4 linked regions of the Arabidopsis thaliana genome follow. The protein of the gene in region 1 interacts with the protein of each later gene in a pairwise test. Each region holds a gene or a part of one and is shown in the gene's direction. Other genes may lie near its edges. The genes, in order: AT1G13520, PFK7, AT2G42490 and BCA4.

Region 1 (4,034 bases):
GGAGAGATGTATGTAACAAAGCGTTTGTCCGAGTACCAGAGAAACCCATCGGAGCTTACTTTCCTTCCAACGGAAGGTCCAAACTCCGGCGTATTGGTGATTCAAGACGAAGAATCACAGCCTACATGCTGTTTTGGCAAATGCTTTGGTTGTGATCTCAATGGTTTGCCGTTTCCTCAGAACACAAGAGTCACCGTTAAATACCAAATCGGACGTTAGTTACTAGTCATTTCACTCCTAACTTTCTGTCAATCATTTTACTTTACTCTGTTTCTGTTTCTTCTCTGTTTATTATCTAAGCTTTGATTTCACCATAGATGGAGATGACAGAATTGTCTTGCTTGACTCGGTCGCGTTCATCCCCGTTCTTCACCAGCCTCCTTCTTCCAATCTTTACTACGTTATAAGGCGAAGAGGGAAACATGCAGGGTATGATTCTATTGAATCTTTCTCATGTTATGTAGATATCAAAGTTTATCGTTTTAGTTTTAATTAAGCCAAGATTAATAGTTTAGCGGCCTAAATTCACATCTTTTAAAACTTTGATTGGTATTGCAGAGAAGCATGTGTTAGTGCAAAAGAAGAGGACAAAGTTTCTTGTTGCCTTTGTTTTACTTATGTCTCTAATGCTACGCCAAGGCTTCTTGATCCTTTTGACATATACCAACAATTTGAGATACATCAAAGAGGCTCATCAACTCGCAAGTTTTTCGCTACATCTGTTGCTTCAGATGGAATACCACCTCGGTTCCTGAGGAGAAAAGGCTGGACCGTTCCTTTCTCTGCTTCCCAAGACTATGGTTTGATTGATGATGCAAAGGGTGTAGTTGATGCAAAGCTGCGCTATGAGCTTCCCGATTTCGGTAAGAGTGTAGTAGTTGGAAAATGGTATGTTCCGTTTTTGTTTGTAAAGGAAGGAGATGCTAAAGATCAGATGAAGAAATCGATGTATTATAGTATGACACTTCACCAAAGATTTGAAGAGGTTTTCTTCTGCGAAAACGTTGACAATAAAAATTGCGAGGTTATAGTTGATGTGGAGGTAGAAACAGAAGTGGTTAAGCTTGAAGGAGAAAATATTGGAAGAGAGACAAAAGGTGTGAATTCAGATGGAGTTGTCTGGTTTGGTGTCTCAGAGACTCAGAAGATAGGTATTGGGTCTGTGGTCTTGGAGAGGATGAAATGGGAAGAAGAGAGGTTTGGGTGGTCGAAGAAAGGCAATGAACTAAAGTCTAGCATTAAGAGAACTGAGAAATTTGAAGGCGGTGGACCACAATGGAAGAGTTATAGATGCTATGTACTGGTAGAGACCTTTGAACTGAAGAAAACTGATGGGAGTTTGGTATTGACGTATGAGTTTAGACATGTTGATAAGTTGAAGAGTAAGTGGGATTGACTTTATTTCAGCTTCTTTGTGTGTTATGTGTTCAATTTATGGTGTGTTCATTTTATTGAAAGGTTAATGCAAGTTCATGTGTTATGTGGTGAAGCTAACTTGCACAAAAAGGGTGTATACTCTAAAAGGAAAAAAACCTCAAAAGTTTTGTAATTATTTTGTAGAAAAGCATTAGCTAGTGCCAAAGAGTAAGACAGAGTCCCCTGTTTCTTTTGCTTCAGTTTCTTCCTGAAGCTAAGTCACAAGAAGCAGATCCTTATAGTTAGGTCAATCATAATATAAAGAAAATATAGAATTTGTTTGATTGATTCTCCATGATAGGTTTGTGAAACCAGGTCAAGGTCATAACTTTGGAATTCTAAAGTTTGAATTGAACCATAAAGTAAAAAAATTTGAAAAGTCTTCAAACGATAACTTGTAAAATTTGCTTACCGCGTTATCCTCAATACATGGTGCAATATATAAACATATCATATCTCTTCTAATCAATAACCTGATCAAGATTCTGAATTCAAGATGTATGTTACAAGGCATCTCTCCGAATACCAGAGAAACTCGTCGGACTTGACACGATCGTTGCCGGAAGGTCCAAACTCCGGCGTACTTGTGATTCAAGACGAAGAGTCAAAACCGACTTGTTGCTTTGGAAATTGCTACGATGGTGAACTCAAAGGCTTACCGTTCCCACAGAACGCAAAGCTGACTGTGACTTACAGAACCGGAACTGGTAATGACAGGCGCAGTTACCATGACCAGGTTCTGTTCATTCCGGTTCTTGATCAGCCTTATTATTCGAACCGTTATTATGTCATTAAACGACGTGGGAAGCAATCAGGGTATGGCCAAAAATCTTAATTACTTTCTTGACTTTGTTTTGTTTTTTTGAGGTTTTAATCAATTTATGTCATGCATGGTTCGAGATACTTGCTTTTGGGTTTGGTTTTCTTGGGATGGTTTCGGTTTGACCGGATTGGCCACCCCTTTTGACCTGACTTGCACAAATGGTATTCATTAAAAAAAAACTAATTTTGGATTGCAGAGGAGCTTCGGCGAGTGCAAAGGAAGAAGACAGAGTCCCCTGCTGCTTTTGCTTCAGCTATGTTCCTGAAGTTAAGCCACAAGAAGCAGATCCTTATGATATATATCAACAGTTCGAGGTCCATCAACGTAAACCATCATCAGGCTATTACACTGCCACTTCAGTTGCTCCTAATGGGATACCACCAGAGTTCCTTAAGAGAAAGTACTGGACCGTTGAGTATTCGAATTCCCAAGACTTTGGTTTGACAGATGATGCAAAAGGGATCAACACTACGCTTCGTTCCAAGCTTCCCAACGATATGAATACAAGTGTTGTGGTAGGGAAATGGTATGTTCCTTTCATATTTGTGAAAGAAAGAGATGCAAAAGATCAGATTAAGAGCTCACCTTATTACAGCATGACGCTTAAACAAAGATGGGAAGAGGTTTACTCATGCGTAAACGTTAACTACAACCAAAAAGGAGGAGAGGTTGTAGTTGATGTTGACGTAGAAACACAAGTGGTAAAGCTTGAGGGACAAGAAACTATTTCTAGAGAGACAAGTGGTGGTGGATTTGTTTGGTTTAGTGTTTTAGGGGATGAGAGACAAGACAAGAAGATAGGTCTTGGGTCTGTTGTCGTGGAGAGGATGAAATGGGAAGAGGAAAGGTTCGGATGGTTAAACAACGGTGAAAGATCTAACATTAAGAGATCAGAGAGATTTGAAGGCGGGTCATCGCATTGGAAGAGTTATCGATGTTTGGTATTGATAGAGAGCTTCGAATTGAAGAGAATGGATGGGAGTTTGGTGTTGACATATGAGTTTACGCATGTTGATAAGTTAAAGAGCAAGTGGGATTGAGTTTTTTATTCATCTTTGTTCAGTTTCTTTGTGTGTCATCTTTTGGTTCAATAATTAATTTAATGAATAAGTTTTATGCAATTTCATGTAGTAATTAAAAAAAAAAAAAAGTTCGCATTTAAATTCACGTAAATTTCAATTATGAATCATTTATTTGATCATTCTTCTTAAATGTTTTTTTTTTAATATTGTAAACTTGTAACCCTCATTCCAACAACTATGGCCCTCCATTTTTTTAATATAAATCAAGTTCTTTGAAAGTTGCTGATAACGTGTTTTGATTCTACTACCAATTTAAAAGTCTTCACATACGAGTTTAGACATGTTTATAAGTTGAAGAGAAAGTGAGATTGAGAGCTTTTCCAATTTGATTCTCATATCTCCATAATTTATTTAATTTTATGATGTCTCTTAAATTCTGCTTCAAGTTCTGTTTTTTGGGGGCTCTGTTTCAATACAAAACCTCTGTTCTGCAGATTGCTCAAATGAACAATTATGAAGTTAATGGTCATAATTTGGAACTCAAAGTAGATAAAAACTTAAGTTACGTGATAGAATTTAAAAACAATGTGATGTGAATTTAAAAACTGCCAAAAAGGACTTCCATAAAAGCTAAGTCAAAGATCTCGGAAAAGTCTTAAAAAACAATGTTGATTGAGCCGCTAGTGAGATTATTTTTTCTAGTGATTTGAGTCTTGTCTTGTAGGATTCTTGTTGCTTCTCTACCACAACTATATTTTGTAACTTTTGCTCTC
Region 2 (5,535 bases), on another chromosome or scaffold:
GACCATGTCAACTTTTTTTGAGCAATATAAGGAAATTACGAATTGTGAGATATTTATAAGTTTTAGTTGGAGTCAAGCTGTAAAAAATGTAAGGCTTTCTTTTTATCAAAAAGATAAAAATCTAATTTTAAAGATTTTATTTAATAATCTTGTGCTTTAATTAACTGTTGAATCTCGCTCTTTTGTTTGAAATAAATATTTGTTTGTACATCCATTTTAATAGTATAAAACCTGGTACCTTCTCTGACCTTCTGAATGTTTTTGAACATAATTACGGATTAATTTAGGAGAAGATTATCAATATTTTTAAAATAAAGAACGCAGGAAAAGAACATAGGAAACAAAGCATTTAAGGATAATCTCTTTGGATTATAGGGCAAACACATGTTTTTAAGAATCTTTTTCTTTTTTGCTTTCTTTCACATTATTTGAAATATGTAACATATTCTTGTGGGATTTGAACCCAATGGTCCTACACTGGTGTGGGTCCAATGATGATGTCGGGAGATGGGGCCTAGCCGCAGATTTGTTTGAACAACAGATCAAACGGTCATCATTTATTTGATCTAAATGATTATATTAGGTTTTGCATTTTTTCTTCTCCTTTGAAAAGATGAAAAACGAAAAAAGGTCAGAAATCTACTGGAGATAAGAGTACCGTCTGAGACTAGAATAAACATAGATATCAGCTGAAAAAATTGATAAGAGTATGATAATGTGCTTATTCAGTTTTATTATTAAAAAAATAAAAAAATTAGTCTGCTACGAAAACACAAGTATACATACTATAGTTGATAAGAGCATTATCCATGGTGTGTAGTAAGTAAGTAAACAAACCATTATATTTGGATTAATCGAGTATTCAGCAAATATTCATATTGTCTTGTTAATGATTAAGAGCCTAGAAGTCTTTAAAATATCCATCAAGATTCAAACATTATGACTCAAACTAGTGTGGTGTTGTCCATTATACTCGAAACGAAATGGTATTTTTTCAACTTTTGCTTGTAAAACTTAGCCAGTGCATGGCCTTTATTAAATCAACTATTGGGTCACTGCATGACCCATTTATCAACCTGTAACTGAATATTGGGCTTTGGCAAAGATCCAATTAGCTTCATTCGTATTTCAGAAATTTGATTTTATATCCGACTGAGTAGGTACGTATATGCAATACGTTATGTCCTATTAGCCTTATGGGACTCACGGGTACTTATGCAGGAGATGGATTAATTTCATATCCATCTGCAAACTAAATACATTTATTTTCTTATGGCAAAAAGCCAAAAACTATGTAACGTTTAATTTACGAAAAAAAAAATATTTAATATTTGGGTTATATGGATTTTTTTTTATTTTTTTTTTTTTTTTCGGGACATTAGCGAGAGTCATAGTATTAAAGAAACAGTAAAAACAACGACCAGATTTAATGCAACTTTATTACTACTTTAATTCAGATTCGAGAATTGACAGGCAAATACGCATTATTTTAGTACATTATGAAGAATCATACAGTTACATATTTCACATATATATTGTTTTAAAGATGTAAAACGACTAAGCAAGTATGTCATCTGATAGCATTATGAACTAATAACTTTTTGTCAACTCTGATTTTCATTTTTAAAATTATTATATCTTGTTACCTCTTTGTAACCAGCAATAGTTTCTTGACAACAAAAGAATCGGCAAATCAATGAAAACTTATTAAACTAACACACAAAACATAAAAAATAGTGATTAGCCGACACAACAAAATTGGATTTGTCTTTCTCTCTTTAAAAGATTTTCACCCGAATATTCCTAAAGATCTGAAATACTGAAAATATCACACAAAAAAATCCAAAAAGAAAAAAAATCATTTTAAAATTTAGAACTTGTTTTTCAAGGCCCAAAATTAATCGTTGTCAATAATTGGAAACTTAAAAATAAAGTCTTGTTCTAGAAGAATGTGAATCATCTTCTCCAAGTTTCAAACGTTGGTTTTTTTCCCCACTGTGATCGTCAGCTTTATATATTATATACACGAGAATCTTGTACCCAATTAACATATACATACATGTAAATGTGTGTATGTATATAATATAAAATTATTCTCCTTTTCACTAATTTTTCTTCAAATACTTTAATGCCCACCACCTGTTCGATCAAATTCCCCATCTCGAAAAGCTAGAACTTTCTTCGTCTCTATTGGTCTCTCACTCTCTCTCTTACCTCTTCTCATTTGTTCTTTCTCCTTCTAAATTGGGTTATCAAGTATATTGGATCAACGGGTTTGATTCACGATTTGTCATTTCATCTTCGTGGAGAGAGTTTGATCTGATTTGTTGATCGTCAGCGTTATGTCTAGTCCGAGAAGTAACAAGCCGAAGATTGTCAACGGTCCTGGTGGTTATATTCTACAAGACGTTCCTCATCTCATTGATTACCTTCCTGATCTTCCTGTATGTTTCACTTGATCTCTGATTGGTTCTAAATTGATTTGAAAATTTCTCGATTTGCACAAAGAGATCGAATCTGATATCGTCTAGTTAACAAAGGAGGAATCTTTAGCTTTGGGTTTCAATGTTCTGATCTGTTTCTGGTTTACTCTTAATAAAATGGTGATAATTCGTGGTTTTGATGTTATTGCAGACTTATCCAAATCCATTGCAAGACAATCCAGCTTACTCAGTGGTTAAGTAAGTATCTTCACCTATTTCAGACGTTTCCATTGCTTAAAGTTCATAGTTTTTGTTCTCATTTGGATGTTTTTTATCAGGCAATACTTTGTTCATGCTGATGATAGTGTCCCTGAGAAGGTAATTTATCAAGCATAATCCTTTTTTACCTGTAATTGTCTGAAGAATGGTGTTAGATGATCATGTCTTGTTGAAAGTGAGATTTTTAAAAGTAAAAGGCTCACTTTTTCTATCCTCTGTTTTATTTTCGTGTTATTTAGGTTGTTGTTCACAAGGATGGTCCAAGAGGAGTCCATTTCAGGCGTGCTGGTCCACGTCAAAAGGTTTACTTTGAGTCTGACGAAGTGCATGCTTGTATAGTTACATGTGGAGGTCTCTGTCCCGGTCTCAATACCGTGATTAGAGAAGTTGTGAGCAGCTTATCATACATGTATGGAGTAAAGAGAATTCTTGGAATCGATGTAAGTTTGGTGAATCATAATTAATCTCTTCGGTTTCATTTTGGATTTCATAACTATTGTCCAAACGATTCTCATTTGTTGAAATCTTATAGGGTGGATACAGAGGATTTTACGCCAAGAATACTATCCCCTTAAACTCTAAAGTCGTGAATGATATCCATAAACGCGGAGGAACAATCATTGGGACCTCAAGAGGTGGACATGATACCAACAAGATAGTTGATAGCATTCAAGATCGAGGAATCAATCAGGTTAGGGAATAAACACAGCCACTGCTTTTTACGTTGTATGTGAAAAAGTTTGTCAACCTTTTCTTGATGTAGTATCTGTTATCATTTAGGTTTACATTATTGGAGGAGATGGAACCCAGCGAGGTGCTTCAGTAATATTTGAGGTAATTCCATTGTGATATTTCAGAATAACAGTTGTAAGTTTTAAGTTTTAACAATCAACAACTGAACTTAGATTGTATATAACCATGTAGGAAATTAGAAGACGTCGACTAAAAGTTGCTGTGGTTGGAATTCCAAAAACTATTGATAATGATATTCCGGTGATAGATAAATCTTTTGGGTTTGACACTGCTGTGGAGGAAGCTCAACGAGCGATTAACGCAGCACATGTTGAAGCCGAGAGTAATGAGAATGGTATCGGTTTTGTCAAGCTTATGGGTCGTTACAGCGGTAAGTCTTTGTTTTGAAACATACAACTTAAAAGACCTTTTCGATTTGTTACTGACTAATGCTAGGCGGGTGTTGTACTACAGGGTACATAGCGATGTATGCTACATTAGCCAGCAGAGATGTTGACTGTTGCTTGATTCCCGAGTCACCATTTTACCTCGAAGGAGAAGGTGGACTCTTTGAGTTCATAGAGAGACGGCTGAAGGATCATGGTCACATGGTGATTGTTCTTGCTGAGGGTGCAGGACAGGATTTGATGTGCAAAAGCATGGAATCTACTCCTATGGATGCTTCTGGGAACAAACTTCTTAAAGATGTCGGCTTGTGGCTATCACAAAGCATCAAGGTAAGAGTTAAAAACTTTCAAGATCATGAGATTCTTATGCCTTTTACAGAAAATTTCCTCATAGGGTTTATTTCCTCTTGTTGTAGGATCATTTTAAGAAGAATAAGATGGTGATGAATCTCAAATACATTGATCCTACATACATGATCCGGGCTGTTCCAAGTAATGCATCAGACAATGTTTACTGTACACTTCTTGCTCAGAGCGCGGTTCATGGTGCAATGGCTGGTTACACTGGCTACACCAGTGGTCTTGTCAATGGAAGACAAACATACATCCCTTTCTACGTAAGTTACTAATACAGATCTAATGTGTGCGGGATGGTCCTGAATTGAATCTGATCGTGTACTTGTGAGCAATTCTGAATCGTGTCATTGTTTTTTTGTTTGTCTTGCAGAGGATAACAGAGACCCAGAACAATGTAGTGATTACGGATAGAATGTGGGCGAGGCTATTGTCTTCTACGAACCAGCCAAGTTTCTTGGGGCCTAAGGATACATCTGAAGAGAAGAAAGAGTTGCCGGAAACACCGCTTCTTGACGACGGAGCTGTCGATATTCCTCCTGTGACTAAAGAGGTCACTAAGTGAAGAAGTTGCAGGGCATAATAATGGCATATGTATACTCAGAGGGTTCTGTAACCGATGCCGTTTCAGGCGAAAGTGAAATAATTGTTATTTTAACGAATTTGCCCTTTTGTGTATGTGCATACACAACACAAACACAAATTTTAGTTTTCTTCTAGATGTTTAGTTTTGTAATCCTTTTTGCATTTTCCACAACTGAATAAATGAATGAAGTAATAATCTTCGTTACTTTGATCCTATATTTGTTCTTGTATATGTTTTTTCACACTCAAAATGAAGAGAATAGGATGCAAGAGAGCTAAATTGTTTTCACACATAGATACTTCAAAAAGTTTCTTTTTGGTAACTGATCTTTTAAAGAATGAGAAAGCTAAATCTGAATGATTTAATGCAGTCAAAAGTGTTTTTTTTTTCTTGAAGGTTTCTATTATTGATAATTGAGAATTTGATAACTTGTTTGGATCAAATCTTGGTCTAATAATGATTTGTCTGATACTGAATTTGCAAAAAAATCTCAGTAATAGTGTAATACTTTTTTTTGGTTAAAAAAGTAATAGTGTAATACGACAGACCATAATAAATAAATTTTTTAAAGCAGAAGATGAAAGAAGAAAATATCATTTTAGTTTATAATAGGACAGACGAGATACAATTACCGTTTGTATCAACATTAGCATTAACATTAGCTAATGTAACAATACAACTTTATTAACTGGGCAATAATATGCTTAAACGACAAGTAATCAAACACACACACCATTTTATCTTTCTAATAGTA
Region 3 (6,768 bases), on another chromosome or scaffold:
CGACTGTGAACCTTCTCTTGACTTGCAATCTAACGGCATTGAAGGCTTTGTTGTACTCATGGCTATTGCATTGAGAATGAGATAAATAAAGAACAACATTGAGACTCAGTGCAGACTGGAAGGAGCAAATTGATAGACCTCTAAATGAAGAGCTCAATGAGAAAGCTCCTGAGTTGGTGCTGAGCTGGATAGACAAGTGTTTTAATGTATAGAGTCGTAATCCAGTCTAAATACAAAGTAGCTGTGGGAAGTAGAAGGTTAAAGGTTGTTGTAAAGGGAACACATTCTACTTTCTCGGGACTTTTCTTTGGTCAATCAAGAATTGGTGCTTGTTTCTATCAGTAACTGAACAAAACCAGAGAGTATGAGTTTGATCTTTACCAAACGCAACAAGGCATACAAAGGCAAATCCATAGTAATGACAAAAGATATCTAAGAAATAATAAGATAAGTAATACATTTGCTTAACAACAAAGAACAATATAGTTCTTAGCCAAAAAACATAAAAAAACAATGAACAATATAGTTGAGAACAATGTGATAGACCAAAATCTTATGTATTCATTCATCAAAAGAGAACAGTTTATATTGGAATTCTAAACGTTTTGCCTACTATTGAAGGTTTCACAAGAAACAAAACAAACCAAAGACTAGAAAACAAAGTGTAATTCAATAGTCTACGTTAACATGACGTGTTTTCGCACCGAAGACAATAATATATAAACTGTGATGACAGAATATGGAGTCATGGACTATGTAAGGCTAAACTAGATTATGGAGTCATGGACGAATGAAGAGTTTTTAATTTCGTGAATTTCATAAATAATGTGAGCCTCGTAATACCACTAGTTGTAGACAGCGGTTCTTTGGTGGTCGATATTGCATGGATTATGCGGTCCACTCCACGATCTAATTATTACAACTATATACATATATTTATATATCATGCACTATATTTGTATTTTACAATCTTAAAACCATAACATATCAAAACACTTTGATTAGTAACTTTTGTAATTTTATAAGCTTCTTGTGATTTTTATGTGATAAAACATAAACGACACCAATTCGTTTTTTTTTGTTTTCATACATATTTTCTATAATATCTGTCAGGATCTAATAATTAATATACTGCTCTAAAAGTATATATCATATCAATTGTCTCCAAGTTTTGGTGAAACACCTCAAACTCAAGTTAATAAGACTATTTTGGTTGTATTCATGTTTTTTTTTTGGCTATGTTCCATTCTGCTTACTTCTTAAAACAATGTAGTGTCCAATAACAGCATAAACCTGATAAGAATAATAATTATGCGTGTAGAATTTTGGTGAAACACGTCAAACTTATTTAACAAAACATATATGTTTCATTTTTTTTTGGTTAATTTTTTCCCAATTTTTTTATTTTGAAATAAATTTTCGGATAGTGACATATAACCTTATGTAGTCTGTCAATTGTCATATTTTTCTATTTCCATCATCCTATATACTTTACCTTTGTTAAAACTCCTTAGATAAGAACTTCCAATATTTTCCTTACCTATATTTTAATTTCCAGTTTTATATATTTAGTACTTAAAAAATTCAAATGGAAAATATGTTTGACTCTAATTAGACACATATAATATATATTTCCAAATAGTAAATTACAAATTGAGAAACTCATGAACAATAGTGCATCCACGTCGTTATCCAAGTTGGATTTCTTTCTAAAACAAATAATTAGACCTTTAAAAAAAAATATAAATAGGTACTTGTTAAAAAGTAGGAGAGCCCACAAATAAGGCTTTGGCCGCTTCTGCTTGGACTCTCCAACAAAAATCAAACTCTTTAAAAAAACAAACAAATTGAAGAGCGATTATACGATCACGGAGAACTCAAGATCCGGTGACGAATCCAACTTCTTGTGACGGAGCTCAAGTCGAGAGAGAGAAGACTGTACTAGTAGTAGTAGCTGTGGATTTTTGTGTCATCATCGGAGATCGGAATCTTCTTCTTCTTCTTCTTCTTGGAGCTTCTAGAAGTGGAGAGAAGGGGGAAGATCAAGCGACGGATAGTGATAGGTTTTGCTGTATGTCAGTGGATTGTGTTGAAACTGATTTTGGTGGATTTGGAGAACTTGTGAACCCTATTCAATGGCCTCAGCTTCGAAAAAGACGTCGGCATGTCCTCACCACGGTGGCTCTCTTCCGCCTCCCAAACTCGTCTCCGCTGCTCCCGATACCGTTGCTGTATGGTCCGACGCTGACGATCAGCGAGCCTCTAAAGTTTCTTTGGAATCCGTTATCCGCCCTGTCGATTCGTTTCCTGATAATACTGCCAAGAAACCTGCCAACAAAGGTTTGATTTGATCGTTGATCGTCCTTCATTCTTCTGATGTTAGCTCGCGATTCGTTTGAATTACTTGACTTCTTGTTTACTGGAATTTGTTGATGATGGTTACTTTTTGTGAAATTGGTTCTTGTCTACTTGATGGCTTCTGATTGAGATCTAATTGTGATCACTATTGTGGTTTCTGTGAAGTTGATTTTCTGTTGTGATCACCAATGCAGGGATTTCTGTGATGCCAAGGACTGAAACCAAGCACCCATTGGATCCTCTTTCTGCTGCAGAAATATCAGTTGCTGTGGCGACTGTTCGCGCAGCTGGTGCCAATCCTGAGGTGCGCAAACTTACTTGATTCTTGACAAATGCAGAATGCTTGATAACATTGTCACTGAAACTGTTTTACTTTTTCTTTGGCAGGTTAGGGATGGCATGCGTTTCATTGAGGTGGCATCAGTGGAACCAGATAAACAAGTTGTGGCGCTCGCTGATGCTTACTTTTTCCCACCGTTCCAGCCATCACTACTTCCAAGAACTAAATCTGGACCTGTGATTCCGATGAAGCTCCCTCCAAGGCGAGCTAGACTTGTTGTTTACAACCAAAAGTCTAATGAGACAAGTGTATGGATTGTGGCATTGTCTGAAGTTCATGCTGTCACTCGGGGTGGACATCACAGGGGAAGAGTTGTTTCCTCACAAGTTATACCTGATGTTCAGCCACCCATGGTATGTTAAACTATGTTTTAAGGAATTGGATCTCTAAGTGACTTTTAGATGCTACCGTTGTTTGCCAGTCTCTAAGTTTAGATTCTTTTGATTTTAGGATGCGGCTGAATATGCTGAATGTGAAGCGATTGTCAAAGACTTCCCACCATTCATAGAGGCAATGAAGAGGAGAGGTATTGAAGACATGGATCTAGTGATGGTTGATCCCTGGTATGTTAACAACATCATCGTTTCTGTTGACAATTAAGGTGTACTTCTTCTCTGAGCCTACCTCTTAATGTATTGTGCAGGTGTGTGGGTTATCACAGTGAGGCTGACGCTCCTAGTCGTAGGCTTGCAAAGCCCCTTATATACTGTCGGACTGATAGTGATTCCCCTATGGAAAATGGATATGCTCGTCCAGTTGAGGGCATTTATGTACTTGTAGACATGCAAAACATGGTGGTGATTGAATTTGAAGACCGTAAGTTTGTGCCACTCCCCCCACCTGACCCTTTGAGGAATTATACCCCAGGTGAAAGTAGAGGGGGTGTTGATAGAAGTGATGTTAAGCCTCTCCAGATTATTCAGCCTGAAGGTCCAAGTTTTCGTGTAAGGGGTTACTTTGTCGAGTGGCAGAAGGTAGATTTCCAGTAATAGCCTACTTGAAACCAAGTGATTATGCTTAAGCTTATTTCTAAATTGGCTCAACATTTTGTTTACAGTGGAACTTTCGTATTGGATTCACTCCAAGGGAAGGTTTAGTCATACATTCGGTAGCATATGTTGATGGCAGTCGAGGTCGAAGGCCTGTTGCACACAGGCTAAGTTTTGTGGAAATGGTTGTGCCTTATGGCGATCCTAATGAGCCACATTACAGGAAAAATGCTTTTGATGCAGGGGAGGATGGTCTCGGGAAAAACGCACATTCGCTTAAGAAGGTTTGACATCAGTTTTTTTTTTGGTGTTCTTACCACTCAGATCTCAGTTTGTGTTTAACAATCGGTTTTTATAGGGGTGTGACTGTCTGGGATCTATCAAGTACTTCGATGCCCATTTCACAAATTTCACTGGAGGAGTTGAAACAATTGAGAACTGTGTTTGCTTGCATGAAGAAGATCATGGGATTTTGTGGAAACATCAGGACTGGAGAACAGGATTAGCCGAAGTGCGAAGATCTAGGAGACTAACTGTCTCTTTTCTATGTACTGTTGCCAACTACGAGTATGGGTTTTACTGGCACTTCTACCAGGTTAGTGGAATACGTGATTCTTCATTTCTTGAGTAAAGCAGATATTAGTCATATTTGCATCTAATTTCTATAGGGAAGACAAATGATGTGTCTCCGCATGAGAATAAATCCTGAGTTTAGTGGCACTTTGCTTGTGATTTTTCACTTGAGGACATTGATTTACAGTGCTGAATCCGAGTTTCATTTGTTTTCTGATTTGTAGTTTCATCTTTCTAGATATTTGAAGACCAATATCATTTTATGTCTTGAATGTCTTACTGTAGGATGGGAAAATCGAAGCTGAAGTAAAACTTACTGGTATCCTCAGTTTAGGAGCTCTGCAGCCAGGTGAAACTCGAAAGTACGGTACTACTATTGCTCCTGGGTTGTATGCACCAGTCCATCAACATTTCTTTATCGCTCGCATGGATATGTCTGTTGACTGTAAACCTGCTGAAGCTTTTAATCAGGTACCTTTTTATGATGCTGCTCTTCTTCTTGTTATTTACTTACATATGCGGATTATTTTCTCAGTATTTAGGAATGGCATTGGTAGCATATGAATTTTAGAAGTCCCTATAGTTCTTGAAAAAAAATCTTAGATACATGTTGTCAGCTGGTTTTGCTCAATAGTCAGCTTAATCCACTTTTATCTGTAGGTAGTTGAGGTAAATGTTAGAGTTGACGAGCGAGGTGAGAACAATGTCCACAACAATGCGTTTTATGCGGAAGAGAAGTTACTTAAATCTGAGGCAGTGGCGATGCGTGACTGTGACCCTCTTTCTGCTCGCCATTGGATTGTAAGCAAAAACCGTACCTTGCATGTTCTCGTCCATTTATTGCATGTTTAACTTTCACATTGTCAGTGCTCGTACCCGTCTCTGTAATATCCTTGTTTATATTTCTTTCATCCTTGACTATCTACTAGTCTCATCCTTGAGACTGGATTTGGGATAAGAGATCACCTGAGCATCCCTAAGTTTCAGTCATGTGTTTATATAGTCTCATACTTGAGTTCCTTTACCAAAAAATCATCTCAGAGTTTCATTGAATATGATTTGTAGCTGAAGTATAGATGGTATACTCACGCAAGATGTATATTCAACACAAATCATTGTAATGTGTTATCAGGTAAGGAACACAAGGACTGTAAACAGGACGGGCCAATTAACGGGATACAAACTTGTTCCGGGTTCAAATTGTTTGCCATTAGCTCGACCCGAGGCGAAGTTTCTAAGAAGAGCCGCTTTCCTGAAGCATAATCTCTGGGTTACCCGTTACGCCCCAGACGAGAAGTTTCCTGGAGGAGAATTCCCAAACCAAAACCCACGGGCTGGTGAAGGTCTTGCCACATGGGTGAAACAGAATCGCTCCTTGGAAGAATCTGACGTCGTTCTTTGGTCTGTATCCTTGTTTTACTTATCTGATTCAGTTAAAAACTACTACTTACCAAATTATGTGACTTTCAATGTGGAATTTTCATTTGTCACCAGGTACGTGTTTGGGATCACACATGTTCCTAGACTTGAAGATTGGCCGGTTATGCCCGTCGAACATATTGGTTTCACACTAATGGTAAGTTAAATCTTTGACTGTAACTTTCAATGGAAAAAAAACCTTACAAAGGATTGGTTAAAAAATGTTTTGGGTTTTGGGTAAAATACAGCCACATGGATTTTTCAACTGCTCACCGGCAGTAGATGTGCCACCGAATCCATGCGAATTGGAGACTAAGGAGAGTGAAGTCAAAGAGGTTGTAGCACCGAAAGCTCTTCAGACTGGTTTACTTTCAAAGCTTTGAAGAATATGAATATCATTTGTTTTCTTTCTTTGATCTCTTAAAAAATTGGAGGCGTTGCTGTTGGTTAAGAACAATTTCATATTTGAATCTTTTATTTTCGTGTTTGGTGTGTGTGTTTGCAAGACTAAAAAGACCTTTGTCATTGGAATATTTCTATTAAAATTTCATATTTGAATCTTTTATTTTCGTGTTTGGTGTGTGTGTTCTTCTATGAATTGCATTAGTTTCATACTTTGGAAAAGAGAAGCAAATAAATATAAACATTGGAAGAGAGGAGCAACATCTCTACTATTTTCATTTTATAAGCCAATCAGAGCGCTCCATGTCATACCCCATTCTCACCTTTTACGTGATTTCACACCCACTCTCACTAATCGCGTGTTGAGGGCGTGTCTACGTTTTCTGAGGGTTCTAACCCACCAAATGGCTTGTTTTGAAACACACTCGCTCTTTTTTAAAAAAGCCTCGAGTGCGTGATTTCAGTGTTTTTCTCCTTTAATTCCAATTCAAACCCAACCGAAATCAATTGAATTTTTCAAAACCATGTAAATCGAACCGAAATTAAAAACACAAACGACAAACTAGCAATTGTCACTTCCACAATTGATCCAACTCCGACGAACCAGATTGATAATTTTGATTCGATTCCACACAGATAACATATAGTCCAAACCAAATGCAATTCATATAGCCTAAAAATCTTAGC
Region 4 (6,933 bases), about 22 Mb from region 1:
CATCACCAGAGACTTGTCGGAAAAGTAACTCAACAGGGTTCTCAAAGCTATGGAGATTTAGAGATCTTGTTTTGAGAAGTAACAGTGATGGAAAAGATGCGTTTGTGTTTTTAAGCAACGGCTCTTCATCTACATCGTCGACGTCGTCTACGGCGGCGAGATTGAGTGGTGTGGTGAAGTCGTCGGAGAAAGGGAAAGAGAAAACGAAGACGGATAAGAAGAAGGATAAGATGAGAACGAAATCGGCACATGAGAAATTGTATATGAGAAACAGAGCAATGAGAGAAGAAGGGAAACGAAGATCGTATCTTCCGTATAAACATGTTGGGTTCTTCACTAATGTTAATGGTTTAACCAGAAATGTTCATCCCTATTGATTAAACCGATCTGTCGTACCAAAATCTCTACCGACAAATCTTTGCCTTTTGTATATATCTAACCTTTTTTTTGGTTTCTGTGTATTATAAAACCTTCTTTTTGTAAGTAAAAGTGAAACTTTACTTATTAACTTTTCGTTTGTATCATTTGATTAGTTTTTTTTCTTCTTTGATGTAAAGTATTTTTTGATTTTGAAAGTAGTAGAGAAAAGATTCATCGATCTTTTTTGGAATTTAAGTTTGTCAATAATATATTTTGGTATATCAAAATTTGTCCGCACGTTAATTTTTTTATTTTTTTTATTTTGAAAGTAGGAATTAATTTTTTACTGGAATAAAGTAAAACTTGTTCTTTTAGGCAATATATTATCTCTATCTAATTGATTAACGATGGCCGCAGATATGTAAACACACATTTTTAGAGATGGCTATAAATGATTTCCTGAGGCATTTATTTTTGATAGCTTAGTTTTTACAACTTCTGTTTACCGACACTATTAAGTTAGGTATCAAATTATTTAAACATAGTAAAAGTACAAACCTGTATTGGTAGTGACAAGTGACAACACATTACACATTATACATCACACCAAACTCAATATGCCTCCTAATACAAGAGTACATACAGCTATAGCTTTAAAAGTGCTTATATTATATGTAAGAGGGCCAGATAAATATTTGGGCCAAAGTAAGAATGATAGGCCTATAATTCGGGTCCAGGTGACTAACACCATTCAGAAATAGTCATGCCCCATTCATCATCGAAAGGTATTTGAAGTCAAGTGAGAGTTTATGCTGATGAATGGGGCATGAATTGAAACATCAAGCCCAAGAAAAAGTACTGGTTGTGAAAATTAGCAATTTTGGTTGTTTTAAATCTAATAGCCCATTACATGAAAATTTGTAGTGTCGCTAAAGTTATCTTTGGTTTGGGTTGTTTTAAATCTAATAGTCCATTACATGAATGAGAGGTGCAACTTGCAAGCCCTATTAACGGCTAGTCATGAAATTACAACATTACCATAAATTTATGCTATCCTGATCTGAATTTATATAGTCTAATTTTCGAAGCGAAACAGATTTCAGGTCTTGGATAATAATTTCATCACTACTTCGTTCATACATTAGTTTAGATCCAAAAGATATACAAAATTTATATAATTAGTAGAACTGTTGACAAATAATTATTAAAAGTAATAAATGGTCTGTTATAGAAATTTGATTTTAACTTTTGTTATATTAGTGAATTTACTTTAAATAGTAGAACAAGTTATAATAAATATGAAAGCATATAAAAAGAATAAAATCTCATGAGATTATCTTCTAGCATAGTTTTAGTGTTTTCTCATAATGTCAATAAATATTTACAGGTCTTATTATGATTTTTACTAAATAAACAGCAGAAACAAATAAAAAGAAAAAACATGGAAGAAGAAGAAGAAGAAGAAGTCCAGCTTCACTCACCTTTCGCTTTCTCTATCCCATAACAGAAACCCCCACATTGCTCGAACGGTCGTCATAATTCCTTGAAACCTCGAAAATCCAAAAACCCATATCCAATCTTCTTCCCATATAAATTAAGATTTTTATTTATTTATTTGTTTACTTATTTCAATTCCCAAAATCCTCTGCCTCATCATCTTCAAACTGTTACCACGTCCATAGGGTTGTCGAAGAGCTAGGAAGAGCCTTACCAAGAGCTTCTTCTTCCCCTAACATTTAGGTATTTCATTCGTAATTTATCTTCTTTTTAATTTAATTATTGTCGATTACCAAAACCCTTTTTTATACTAAAAAACTGAATCCATTTTTCCACACTAAAAGGAGAACACAAAAACTTCATTTCAAGTTCATGTTTGAAAAACTAAGAAGTGTATGGTTTGTTTGTTGACAATTAATGAGCATTTTTTTCCCAAAATACGTTAGAACTTAATATGATAGAATAAAACTTGAATTATTCATGGCAATGAGTATAGTCATATACAATAATGGTTGATGGAAATGAACCTTACGGTCCAATGAAAAGCCAGCTTGCGTTACTTGAGCATTTTTAAGCCCCAAAAAAGTTTGAAAATATGTATAAAGGAATATTTTATATATGGAACTAAAGAGTCAGAGAACCATTCCGGATTTAGATCATCCATCTATTTTAATTTGTTGTGATTCAGCCATCGCATTATTAGTCTTCAGAATATAATAAAATTATAATTCAGTTATGAATTTAATAAATTGAATGCCGACGTGAGTAGTTAATAATGTAGTCGATTGTAAGTAACAATGAGAAAACTCCTATACTTTATTTTTAGATGTATTTGTAATAATAAGATTACGGGTTTGGACTGGACAGGTTGGTAGGAGAAGCAAAGGAAGAGATCATTTATAATGGCTCCTGCATTCGGAAAATGTTTCATGTTCTGCTGCGCTAAAACCTCCCCGGTAAGTCCCAGCAACAACTCAAATTTGCTTATGAGAAAAATACTCAAGCTATTTTTGAAACTTCGAGAGGATTATTAGATTATAGTATGTATATAAAGTGACGAAATGTATATAGAGAAAGTAATAATTAAGTAAACTGGTGACGCGTAGATGCCAACTGGCAAGTCCGTTAAAAACATGACCGTGTCAGCCTGTAAGGCTTGCCTTGGTTGACTTATCCTGCTTTGTCATTGGCCACCGGCCTATCGGAAAAGACGCAGACCAATTTGCCTTCACCAAAATAAAAATTACTACTTACTACCATATGCTTTTTGCCCTGCGTTTACTTTTCAAGTCGAGATCATTTATTTGGTCAAATGAGGTAGAAAAAAACTATTCTAGTCAATGTAGACATTCGAATGAAATTTGCATTTATAAAAAAAATGTACTTGGAAATTCAAATGGGTTTATAATTTCATTTTAATCAGTACCGAGACATACAGCCACATGCTTAATTATTCCTCCTCAATCAAAACCATTTCACCCCAAAATTTTAAAATAGTTTTATCAAATCACCATCCCACAAAAAGATTTTTTAATATAATATAAACCTTCCCATTTTTGTGGAGTTTCTTTTTTTTTTCCCTTGTAAAAAAGAAAATGTAAGAGTAGAACCAAATGGCATAATAGAGCTCTAGGCCTATAAATACCAATATCCATCTCTACTACTACTGCATTAACTGATTTCACATTCTTCGATAAGGATTTTACTCTCCAGAGAAAGAAAAAAAAAACCTCCTCTGCTTTTGTGATCCTTTAAGGTTTCTCTCATCAGATCCAATTTTCATGTTTCAACATCGTCAAATTTCACCGATTAAAATTACTTGTTGTTGTTTGTATTCATTAGGAAAAAGACGAAATGGCAACGGAATCGTACGAAGCCGCCATTAAAGGACTCAATGATCTTCTCAGGTACACACTCTCTCTGACTCATAGTACCATCATTAGAAAGTGTCGGCATATTCCTCTTTTTTTTCCTCCCACAATTTCTCCATAATCAACGCCAAAATCAAAGCGTTGAATCGGAAAAAAAAATCAGAGTTTTTTGTTTTCTTTTGATTTGCGCGTTTGTGTTTTCTTCATGACCAAACATTTTGGAATCCGTACACGTACGACAGATCCTGACCGTTGGATCAACTTACCTTGGGAAAAAAGTTTCACATTTCCGCGTTTTTTTTACAGTACGAAAGCGGATCTCGGAAACGTCGCCGCCGCGAAGATCAAAGCGTTGACGGCGGAGCTAAAGGAGCTTGACTCAAGCAATTCAGACGCAATTGAACGAATCAAGACCGGTTTTACTCAATTCAAAACCGAGAAATATTTGTAAGTATTTAAATTACTAAACTTTTTAACGTTATTTAAGGAAAAGAATATAATTAAATTCGTTTTTGTTCTGTAAAGAAGAATTTTCATGACGGTGGAGTGGTCCATTAATGATAAACCTACCTTTATTTTTTCTTATTCACTTAGCATTACTGTTTTTATTCATGTGATAGTGCTAAAAAAAGGTGATTAAAAGCTAATTAAATTGTATTAAGAAGGTATATTCCAATTAGTATATGCAATAACAGAAACATAAAAAGGTGGTTTTTTAAAAAGAAATTCTGAATTTTTTTTAAGGTTGATTCATGGATTTTGATGAAATCTCTCTGTTCATAATTTTTTTCAGGAAGAATAGTACTTTGTTCAATCATCTTGCCAAGACTCAGACCCCAAAGGTTTTAGCTTTTCTCAAATCTCTCTCTTTTTCTCTGTTCATTTACTTATTTTCTTCTTTGACTAATACCTAAAAAATAGGTTAATACGAACAAAAGAGTGTGACAAGCTTTTTAATAATCCAACGATGATGTTTGACTTTATGAATTAGCAAAAACAATTATTGGAACCAAAGATGGTCCACTTTCTTATTATAGAGTTAATGAATTTGAAAATGATGTTGATTTTTTTTTTTTGATTATGGCAGTTTCTGGTGTTTGCTTGCTCTGATTCTCGAGTTTGTCCATCTCACATCTTGAATTTCCAACCTGGTGAGGCTTTTGTTGTCAGAAACATAGCCAATATGGTTCCACCTTTTGACCAGGTTCATTACCAAGCCATTTCACTCTTGTTCTTGTCTGAGATCAAATAACTAACACCAAAGTGGTTTTGATAATTTATCAGAAGAGACACTCTGGAGTTGGCGCCGCCGTTGAATACGCAGTTGTACATCTCAAGGTACATGAACAAAATATACCTATTTTTAAGGATAGACACTTAGATTGAATTAATAAATAAGCAAACTTTGTTAGTATTCTTATAAGTTATCACTTATCAGTAATCATCCAAAGTTTGGCTCTTTTCATAGTGCTCATTATTTTAAGTCGTTGTTATGCATTTTTGCTTGCACATGGTTCTTACTAAAAGTTGATGTCTAGTCACTCTGTTATTTGGACCCATTTCATCCACCTAAACCCTGTTCTCCTTTTCCTTTTAGCCACTAGGATTATCTTTTTTGAATCATTTTTGGATAATGTTCGATATTAGAAATGGGTCTTAATGCATCAACTTGCAACTACTTTTTTATTCAGAGTCAACAGTTCACTTTTTTTAATAGTATCAATTTATTTGTAGGTGGAGAACATTTTGGTGATAGGCCATAGCTGCTGTGGTGGTATTAAGGGACTCATGTCCATTGAAGATGATGCTGCCCCAACTCAAAGGTAATTACTAACTCATTAATCTTGATTTAGCCTGAGTTGTGAATCAAGATTGTTCGATATATGACTTTCTTGTGGGATAAGTTTGAGTCTTTGAGATGATAAGATTAATCGATCTCTAACACGATGGAAATCCTCTAAACAATGGCAGTGACTTCATTGAAAATTGGGTGAAGATAGGCGCATCAGCGAGGAACAAGATCAAGGAGGAACATAAAGACTTGAGCTACGATGATCAATGCAACAAGTGTGAGAAGGTAATAATAACTATCTTTGCTCTGTTTACTTATGTTCTTGAGAAATGGCTTATCAATAAATGTGTTATCTTGTGCAGGAAGCTGTGAACGTATCGCTTGGAAACTTGCTTTCGTACCCATTCGTGAGAGCTGAGGTGGTGAAGAACACACTTGCAATAAGAGGAGGTCACTACAATTTCGTCAAAGGAACGTTTGATCTCTGGGAGCTCGATTTCAAGACCACTCCTGCTTTTGCCTTCTCTTAAGAAAGAAAGCTACCGGAACATATAAAACTCTTTTGAGATAAAAAAAGACACTTTGACTCATCTTTCTTCATTCTCTCATGTTGATGATTCCTCTCCAACTTCTTTGATTTCTTTTTGTTAATTCAAAACTTCAACTTTGCTGCTTCTATTTCAAAAGCTCAAACAATAAAGCTGTAACCAACGTTTGAAACTTCTATATTTGTCTAATTGATGTTTGAACGAAGATTTGAACTTTCCTTCTTTCTCTCTTTTTCCAGATTATATGTGTATGTTAATTGTTAAAACTTCTTGGCATTGAAGCCATTGATCATTACAATTTTATTACATAAAAACTTCTATACGGTATCATTGTCCCATCTATTACCTAGAACGAAATTGTAGTGACTATTCGTTTTAGATTAGCTTCTTTTTTTTGTTGTTGCAAAAAAAATTATTAACTTTTTGCTATTTAAAAGTAGTTGATTTAGAATTTTCTTTATATAAATGTATTTATCAAAATAAGTAAAGGAACTCAAAAGAGTAACTATTGTAAATAGAATATTTCTAGAAAAGTAATAGTAAGATGATATGATTCCTAAACGGGAATTTGCAGAGGCCCATTTACCAAGTTAAATACGAAAAGGCCCACCTAAATTGGCCCAATTGTGATTGCCGACTTATTGACTTCTCTATATATTAGGGATTTGCCGAACGATGATGATTTCTATTTCCATTTAATCTAACTGCAAGAGAATCACTAAACTTTTGCGTTCCAAATTGAAGAAGCTACGGTAAGCGTTTCATTAACCAAACACCTCTCTGAAGTTGTCTATTTCATTCATTAATCGTAGTTTCTTCACCAGTTGTTTTGATATGCCATTGTCTTGACTCTTAAGTTTCATCG

The links.
Region 2: the proteins of AT1G13520 (region 1) and PFK7 interact in a two-hybrid assay, tested with the Arabidopsis thaliana proteins (one large-scale study listed by BioGRID).
Region 3: the proteins of AT1G13520 (region 1) and AT2G42490 interact in a two-hybrid assay, tested with the Arabidopsis thaliana proteins (one large-scale study listed by BioGRID).
Region 4: the proteins of AT1G13520 (region 1) and BCA4 interact in a two-hybrid assay, tested with the Arabidopsis thaliana proteins (one large-scale study listed by BioGRID).

The regions. Positions count from the first base shown.
Region 1 is NC_003070.9:4,631,102-4,635,135, reverse strand, and holds AT1G13520 (hypothetical protein (DUF1262)), read left to right. Parts: upstream 1-1,836; 5' UTR 1,837-1,912; coding exon 1,913-2,232; intron 2,233-2,435; coding exon 2,436-3,279; 3' UTR 3,280-3,503; downstream 3,504-4,034. Other genes in the region: AT1G13530 (hypothetical protein (DUF1262)), read left to right, coding at 7-214, 318-429, 559-1,396.
Region 2 is NC_003076.8:22,921,969-22,927,503, forward strand, and holds PFK7 (phosphofructokinase 7), read left to right. Parts: upstream 1-1,835; 5' UTR 1,836-2,342; coding exon 2,343-2,444; intron 2,445-2,634; coding exon 2,635-2,681; intron 2,682-2,761; coding exon 2,762-2,801; intron 2,802-2,941; coding exon 2,942-3,142; intron 3,143-3,234; coding exon 3,235-3,393; intron 3,394-3,482; coding exon 3,483-3,536; intron 3,537-3,626; coding exon 3,627-3,825; intron 3,826-3,908; coding exon 3,909-4,171; intron 4,172-4,257; coding exon 4,258-4,458; intron 4,459-4,568; coding exon 4,569-4,760; 3' UTR 4,761-4,995; downstream 4,996-5,535. UniProt on the Arabidopsis thaliana protein: Catalyzes the phosphorylation of D-fructose 6-phosphate to fructose 1,6-bisphosphate by ATP, the first committing step of glycolysis.
Region 3 is NC_003071.7:17,690,894-17,697,661, reverse strand, and holds AT2G42490 (Copper amine oxidase family protein), read left to right. Parts: upstream 1-1,638; 5' UTR 1,639-2,135; coding exon 2,136-2,340; intron 2,341-2,552; coding exon 2,553-2,662; intron 2,663-2,745; coding exon 2,746-3,051; intron 3,052-3,148; coding exon 3,149-3,261; intron 3,262-3,341; coding exon 3,342-3,672; intron 3,673-3,755; coding exon 3,756-3,971; intron 3,972-4,045; coding exon 4,046-4,282; intron 4,283-4,545; coding exon 4,546-4,731; intron 4,732-4,920; coding exon 4,921-5,061; intron 5,062-5,392; coding exon 5,393-5,661; intron 5,662-5,754; coding exon 5,755-5,836; intron 5,837-5,927; coding exon 5,928-6,062; 3' UTR 6,063-6,255; downstream 6,256-6,768.
Region 4 is NC_003070.9:26,533,284-26,540,216, reverse strand, and holds BCA4 (beta carbonic anhydrase 4), read left to right. Parts: upstream 1-1,779; 5' UTR 1,780-2,100; intron 2,101-2,724; 5' UTR 2,725-2,759; coding exon 2,760-2,813; exon of another isoform or gene 2,814-3,699; coding exon 3,700-3,764; intron 3,765-4,034; coding exon 4,035-4,175; intron 4,176-4,521; coding exon 4,522-4,570; intron 4,571-4,815; coding exon 4,816-4,932; intron 4,933-5,012; coding exon 5,013-5,066; intron 5,067-5,462; coding exon 5,463-5,551; intron 5,552-5,699; coding exon 5,700-5,805; intron 5,806-5,882; coding exon 5,883-6,050; 3' UTR 6,051-6,393; downstream 6,394-6,933. Other genes in the region: AT1G70420 (DNA ligase-like protein, putative (DUF1645)), read left to right, coding at 1-377. UniProt on the Arabidopsis thaliana protein: Reversible hydration of carbon dioxide. Together with BCA1, involved in the CO(2) signaling pathway which controls gas-exchange between plants and the atmosphere by modulating stomatal development and movements. Promotes water use efficiency.